Bombyx mori: one gene and its partner. The protein of the gene in region 1 purifies or fractionates together with the protein of each later gene. This does not show direct contact. Links are inferred from orthologs where the notes say so. Each region holds a gene or a part of one and is shown on either strand. Other genes may lie near its edges. The genes, in order: RNA cytidine acetyltransferase and THUMP domain-containing protein 1 homolog.

The links.
Region 2: the proteins of RNA cytidine acetyltransferase (region 1) and THUMP domain-containing protein 1 homolog purify together in Homo sapiens (co-immunoprecipitation; 3 studies listed by BioGRID and IntAct, counting the BioPlex papers as one, with this or other methods). This does not show direct contact. The link is inferred for Bombyx mori from reciprocal best matches to the Homo sapiens genes NAT10 and THUMPD1.

What each region holds. Positions count from the first base shown.
Region 1 is NC_085120.1:8,061,181-8,065,619, reverse strand, and holds the start of RNA cytidine acetyltransferase, read left to right. Parts: upstream 1-1,380; 5' UTR 1,381-1,715; coding exon 1,716-1,823; intron 1,824-2,272; coding exon 2,273-2,367; intron 2,368-2,473; coding exon 2,474-2,633; intron 2,634-3,122; coding exon 3,123-3,259; intron 3,260-3,956; coding exon 3,957-4,119; intron 4,120-4,439. UniProt on the Homo sapiens protein: RNA cytidine acetyltransferase that catalyzes the formation of N(4)-acetylcytidine (ac4C) modification on mRNAs, 18S rRNA and tRNAs.
Region 2 is NC_085128.1:7,272,306-7,275,672, reverse strand, and holds THUMP domain-containing protein 1 homolog, read left to right. Parts: upstream 1-1,457; 5' UTR 1,458-1,615; coding exon 1,616-2,491; 3' UTR 2,492-2,632; downstream 2,633-3,367. Other genes in the region: pancreatic lipase-related protein 2, read left to right, coding at 614-695. UniProt on the Homo sapiens protein: Functions as a tRNA-binding adapter to mediate NAT10-dependent tRNA acetylation modifying cytidine to N4-acetylcytidine (ac4C).

The DNA of each region.
Region 1 (4,439 bases):
TGGTTTAACACAAAAACAGTGTGTTGACCGGATGATTTCTGCATTTGGTGATGAAACCCCATCCAAAACCACAATTTATCGCTGGTTTGCTGAGTTTCAACGTGGACGTGTCAAACTCAGTGATGATCCCCGTCAAGGTCGTCCAAAAACTGCAGTCACCCAAGAAAACGTTGATGCTGTGCGTAAGCTGATTGAGGAAGATCGACATGTGACATACCGCGAAATTCAGGCAACTTTAGACATTGGCATGAGTCAAATACAAATAATCTTGCATGAACAATTAGGTGTAAAAAAGTTGTTTTCACGATGGATACTGCATTCGCTCTGTGAAGAGCAAAAAGCGGCTCGCGTTACTTGGTGCGTCAGAACTCTCGAAAGATTCCACGCAGGATCCTCAAATGCTGTATACAACATTGTATCAGGTGACGAATCCTGGATATACGCGTACGAACCCGAAACAAAAAACCAGTCACGAGTTTGGGTGTTCGCAAATGAGTTAAAGCCAACAAAAATTGTTCGTTCACGGAGTGTTGCAAAAAAAATGGTGGCCACGTTTGTCTCCAAAACCGGCCATGTTACGACTATTCCTCTTGAGGGACAAAGAACGGTTAATGCAGAATGGTATGCTAGCATTTGTTTGCCACAGGTCGTTTCTGAACTCCGTAAAGAGAACTGCAACCGCCGCATCATCCTCCATCACGACAATGCGAGTTCTCACACCGCGCAGAAAACAAAAGAGTTTTTAGAGCAAGAAAACATAGAATTATTGGACCATCCGCCGTACAACCCCGACCTAAGCCCTAATGATTTCTATACTTTCCCTAAAATAAAGAATAAATTGCGTGGACAGAGATTTTCATCACCTGAAGAAGCTGTGGACGCCTACAAAACGGCCATTTTGGAGACCCCAACTTCGGAATGGAATGGTTGCTTCAATGATTGGTTTCATCGTATGGAAAAATGTGTCAAATTTCACGGAGAATACTTCGAAAAGCAATAAATACAATTTTAAATAGTAATGTTGTGTCACTTCGTTAATTCCCGAAATTTTCAGTGCCGCCCTCGTATAACCTAACCTCTTAAATCTTTTTGTTAACTCACCCTTTGTATTATTTATCTCCACGCTCAAAACGCTCTTTAATCCATTCCACTTGAGTTTATGACAGTAACGCTCACAAGCAAGTGGAACGGGAAAAATTGCGGTCGTGAGTGTGTTCGTTGAGAACGCTTAGTGGAACGCACCCTATAAGATTAAATTTAGCAAAAAATGTTGAAAGAGCCTTGTAAACTTATTTTGCAATTATTGTCGTATTTATAATACGAAATTGGTTGCACTATTTTTTTACTATGGGTCATTCTGACACGTTTAACCGAATGAATTATATAGTTTAGCCTAGTTTAGTCTGGTCTAGACCTAGCCTGGTCAGGCCTAGCCTGTTCTGGTCTAGTCTAGTCCGAGCTTGTCTAGTCTAGTCTCGCCTTACTTATATCTTCAAATCTCGTTTCGTCTACTTTTAGTTTACCTTACATTAATAAGCTTGGCTTCAGCTTTTGTAATAAGTCTTGGTAGTATGGGCTGTATTGTCTTTGCCTGTCTATTAGATCAATCAAACAAATAACATGAAGTGTGCTTTTGTTTTGAATTTTAGGTTATAAAATTTTAAACAATATTTAACGCTACCTAGTTTAATAGATTTGATTGAACATATCCGAAAATGGTGAAAAAGAAAATTGATAATCGTATCAGGGTTATGATAGAGAATGGAGTTAAACTTGGCCATCGCACCATGTTTCTTCTCATTGGAGACAAAAGCAGAGATCAGGTAAATGAAAAATTCTTCAAATAATAAAATAAGCATGGTGATAAAATTAAAGACTTCATGTTAAGCAGATACAAGTACACAGTATACAAGTACCTATGTACTTTTCCTGTCTTTAAAACTTAAGTATCTAAAAACAATACAATTGTAATACATATCTACATTGATATTTGAATATTGGCTTTATATTTATGAAAATGTACGGTATTAAAATTTGTGATGCACATATTATATTTCTAAATGTAACTAATTTTTCTGTGAGAAAAAAACATTTCTATCATTAAAATTTCTCAGACACCACAACAATTATTCCTGCCTGAGCTTCGATCAACTGAGATATCAAGTTGCAATCAGAACAATTGGTACATTAGCTATCTATATCCAGCAAGACGTGTCACGCAAATCGCATTTTAAATCAATTTAACAAAAAATCTTAAAAAAACTTATTTCAGGTGCCCATTTTATATGATATGTTAGTCAAATCGACAGTAAAGGCTAGGCCAACAGTACTCTGGTGCTATAAGAACAAAGATGAAGCAATTAGCAAGTAAGTAACAATTTTTAGACAATTGTATTGTAACAATAGTTAACTACCCAAAACAATACATGATTTCATACTTTAAGAATATTGATTATAAATGAATTCCTTTTAGTCATGGTCGTAAAAGAGCCAAGAAAATAGCAGCTGGAAAACTGGAAGTCTCCGAAGAATCACTGTTTGATGCATTCAGAGTGGCCACTACTATTCACGGTAGATATTATTCAGAAAGTCATGCAATGCTCGGTCAGACATATGGAGTTTGCGTTTTGCAAGTAAGTTACAAATTAAAAAGACATGTTTTGAAAGGTATGCCATATAAAGCTACACCAAAAACTAGAGTGGCTCATGTAAAATTTGGTTATTGGCTACCATCCAGTAACTACATTTTTTCATGGTAAAATGCAAACAGTAAAAAAACTTTCAATTTTTAAATTAAATTTTAATTTTTTACTGGTGGTAGGACCTCTTGTGAGTCCGCGCAGGTAGGTACCACCACCCTGCCTATTTCTGCCATGAAGCAGTAATGCATTTCGGTTTGAAGGTTGGGGCAACTGTTGTAACTATACTTGAGACCTTAGAACTTATATCTCAAGGTGGGTGGCGCATTTACGCTGTAGATGTTTATGGGCTCCAGTAACCACTTGACACCAGGTGGGCTGTGAGCTCGTCCATCCATCTAAGCAATATAAAAAGACAAAAACCAATGATGATCTGACATGAGGTCAAATTTTTGGTTTAATGTATATGACGTTTATTTTTAGGATTTTGAAGCTCTCACCCCCAATTTGATGGCACGAACAATTGAAACTGTAGAAGGGGGTGGTCTTATAATATTCTTACTTAAAACCATGGATTCTCTGAGACAACTACATTCAATAACAATGGATGTACACTCAAGGTATTATTCTGTTCTTAATCACTACATAGTATAAAACAAAGTCGCTTTCTCTGTCCCTATATCTGTCTGTCCATACATAGGGGCAAAATTGTAATTAGGTACTAGTGATGGTGGTAGGGCGTTTTGTGAGTACCTTATATAAGAAACTAAATACATATCTATACTATCTATAATAATATTATATAATCACTACACAGTATAAAACAAATCGCTTTCTCTGTCCCTATATCCCTATGTATGCTTAAATCTTTAAAACAACGCAACGGATTTTGATGCGGTATTTTTTAATAGATAGAGTGATTGAAGAGGAAGGTTTATATTTATAATAATATCCATTAAATAGTGGAGAAATCAATAATAAATTACAGTTTCCGAAGCGAGGCGAGGGCGGGTCTCTAGTTTCTAATACAATACTGTAATGAAAAAAATAACTTTTAAATAAAGTATGTTGTGCCATTTGTATTATTATTATTTATATACACGAATTGACAAGCTCTCTTGAAGAGTTGCTCTACAATAATTGATCCCAATTAAAATGCAAATTGCCCTACTACATTTAAATACCATATCATTATAATCTCATGAGAACAGTATAAACGTCCAGTGACAACTACAATTTTAGTTAATTTAATATTTTCACAATAAATTTTATAATACTTTTAAGAGAAATAAAATAAAATTTATATTTAATTTACAGATTCAAAACTGAAGCTTATGACACAGTGGTCAATCGTTTCAATGAAAGATTTCTATTGTCTCTAGCAGATAACCCTAGATGTTTGGTACTTGATGATTCACTGACGGTTCTGCCGATATCATCCAAAACCGCCCAAATCGACCCTGTAGATGCTACACCAGAGGTAACAAATAGATTTTTGAAATTTTAATAGTAATTTATATATTATTTTGATGAATACAATGGAGGCCAACAAAATGGTTATGAATTTTGAGAGATAAAATTATAAAATTTATATATGTAATGCAAATTTCATTTCGATCGGCTCATTGTAATTTGGTTGGTGACTCTGACTACAATACCACAAACACTATGTCTGTGTTAGATTTCAGTTCAGAGTCAATATCATAATGAAAGATATTTGGTATTTGGGGACTGAGTGTCCCATTAAATAAAATAAAATATAATTACGTCAATGTAAAAAAAAATACTAGACAGAGAAAA
Region 2 (3,367 bases), on another chromosome or scaffold:
GAATCGCATCGTGTAATAAAAATCAAACTCGCAAAAATTATAATTTGCGTAATTAAGTACTGGTGGCAAAGCGTCTTGTGAGCCCGCATGAGCTTGCTCCGCTTTTTCTGCCGTGAATCAACTGGTGGAGTTGGAATAGCCCTTTGACGCTATCAATAATTGGGGAGGGGAAAAACAAAAATGAATCTAATCAGTGCTCCCCAATTGCGCTATCCGAATACTGATACCATAAATAACTCACGTCACGATTACTGGCGGTAGGACTTCTTGTAAGTCCGCGCGGGTAGGTACCACCACCCGGCCTATTTCTGCCGTGAAGCAGTCATGCCTTTCGGCTTGAAGGGTAGGGCAGCCGTTGTAACAATACTTGAGATCTTAGAACTTATATATCAAGATGGGTGGCGCATTTACGTTGTAGATGTCTATGGGCTCCAGTAACCACTTAACATCAGGTGGGCTGTGAGTTCGTCCACCCATCTAAGCAATAAAAAAAAACGTCCGAAGCACTCTTAACCCTTGTCGCTTGAAGGTCGGAAGAATGTTTTTTCTTGTTTCAGAAATTAATTATTTCAAAATAACCAATGACTAAGAACTCCCAAATTATTTGTTACAGAATAACGGTATGCCCAAAAATGAAAAAACCTGTCGTCAACAATCTGCCAACGGTCATGAAAACGAAATACTGCAAGTTCTAAGAAAATTAAATGAACCACATTACAATAGCAATGCAATTGTTAATTTATTAAGTCTACGAAAAGTATTCTTTTAGTATTCTATCAATTAGATTTAAGCACATGTTGGATATTTGAACTGTTAAGGAAATTAATACGTAATTTAATATTTAGATTACTTTATTAAAGTGTAATCAAACAAAAACATATTTTGCTTTAATTTTTCGTATTTTACAATGTAGGTATTGTTTAAGCCTTTAGAGAAATCGTTTCTAAAGCAGAGAAGGGAAAAATATATCACATGTCAATGAAATAAAGAATACTCTTTGAATCAAGTTCAATTTGGCTAAATGCTTTTTCATTTAAATATTTACAAAATACATACCATACTATTAAAGAGAAAACTTGATTAGTCTCAGGGACCTACCTACCTATAATGAATCTGAGAAACGTTTTATTTGCTATTCGTATAAATTTTTGAACAGAAAAACTATTCAAAGATGGTTCCGTGGCGAATACAATAGTCGACTGTAACTGTATCAGTCTGTATCAGGTTCTGTCTAGGCGCCGTTACAAAGTTAATTCTTTCGTGATTGGTTCTATGATAAATACGCATCCAAATCCCTCTTCGATATGTCAGCTTATTTTGAAAATGTTAGTGCGATTCAGAATCCTGTCAAATATGTTATATTCTCTAAAAGTTAGGGAAAAAAATATCAAAGAACATTTTTGCGCTAAATAGGCTCAAAAGCTCAGCTACCACTTGCCGTTAGGAAAATGTCAAAACAGTGACAACTTTGACCAGTGACACTTGCGTTTCAAGCGGTTTGTTGGAAGGTTGGATGTTGTTGAGTTAGTAATTCAATTCAATACGTAACATAATAATCTGTTATATCATCCATACTTATAAAGATCGATTGCATAGTTGATTCGGTGCATTCAACATGGGTGACACGAGGAAAAAGAAGAAATTTTACTTTAGGAAACGAAGAAACAAATATTTCTTAGAACCCGGCTTCAAGGGCTTCTTTTGCACGTGTAACTTTAGAGAAAAAGACTGCGTCAAAGAAGTATATAATCTTCTGAACGAATATGCCAGTAAACTCTACCCAGATTTAGATGTGGAGCAAGTTCCACCGTCTGCAGTACCTGAGTCAGACGCTCCCGAGGATAGGTCCGAGAGCGAGTCTGAAGATGAGACTGATATTGGAGACATACTAAGAAGGGAAGTGGATTCAATAAAAAAAAATTCGCAGAAATCTTTACGGTTTAAAAGATTTCAAGTGGTTGAAACGGGTGCATCAAATTGTATCTTTGTTAAAACCAATTTACCTAGTCCAGAGGAACTGACCACCGCCATTATAAAAGACCTAATCGCTACACGAATTCAGAAAACCAGACATGTGATGCGACTGCTTCCAATAATGATTACTTGTAAAGCAAACCTTCCGGACATAATGGAAAGCGCTGGAAAACTTTTTGATAAGTATTTCTTAAAAGAACCAACTAGCTTTTCTGTAGTTTTCAACAAAAGATTCAATAACAGTGTATCCCGAGACTTGATCATCAAAGAGCTTGCGGAATTAGTAGTTGTAAAAAACAGGGAGAACAAAGCTGACCTCAAAAATCCAGGTCTCTGCATTATAGTTGAAGTTATTAAAGGAATGTGCTTGCTGAGTATTGTTGATAACTACTTTACTTATAAAAAATATAATCTTAATGAAATATGCAAGGAAGAATCAAATGATTCTGAAGAATCACAGGCAAAAAAATTCAAGAGTAGCTTGAACTGTGAAACTGAGGAACAGAATACTCAATAAATCTACATATTTCCCTAGAGTTTTTCTACATTAAATTTTTTTCTAACCTATCCCTAGGTTGCTGCGCCTGGAAGCTTATACCAACTCTTATACCAAATTTTCTACTTATTATAATATTTTTCATTAAAGTTTTAACCCTAATCTGTGTATTTTTTCACCTTAATTATGTTAACAATTACTTAGTTTTACAATAACCTATGTTATATTAAGGTTTTTACAAGATTATGTAACAAGAGAACCGCTTAATGCTGTGGCATTGGTTACATAACTGGCTGAAGGCTTAGTAGGTCACTTTGTGCCTCAAATTTATAGATAAGACTCTGTCATAAAAGTAAGTATATTTTATACTAGTTATGACCACAAAATGACTAATGAGCTATGACTATCTATCTGTTTGCTTATTAATAGTTCAAGTTAATAATTTGGACTGAAGAAAATTCTACTCCTGTAATGGCAATATTACTTTATGCCTTTATCAAATGATTTAGTTACATGTTGTATCGAAAGATGGCAGTATGCCATAAAATACTCCATGCTTCTATATAACTTCTGAAATATAATTTCTCTACTAAGTATTTTAATGTTGTTTTAGATCCTTCATTGTTAAATGGATAATTAGAAGTTTTTATTGGTAAGAGGTTTTCAATCAGATCAACAGCGTTATCTACTTGAATTTCAATCACCCATAGATGTCAATACGTACTAAAAGATGAAAAAATGAATTTGCTACACAGATGCAAATAATTAAACTAACTATCTTTATAGCAAACATTTAAACAGTGAATCTTATTTTACACATCAAAAATAGTGAAAAGGGTTTAAAAAGAGGTTGAAATGGATTTCTTTTTGCTATACCTATTTTTTGTTTCTGTTTGT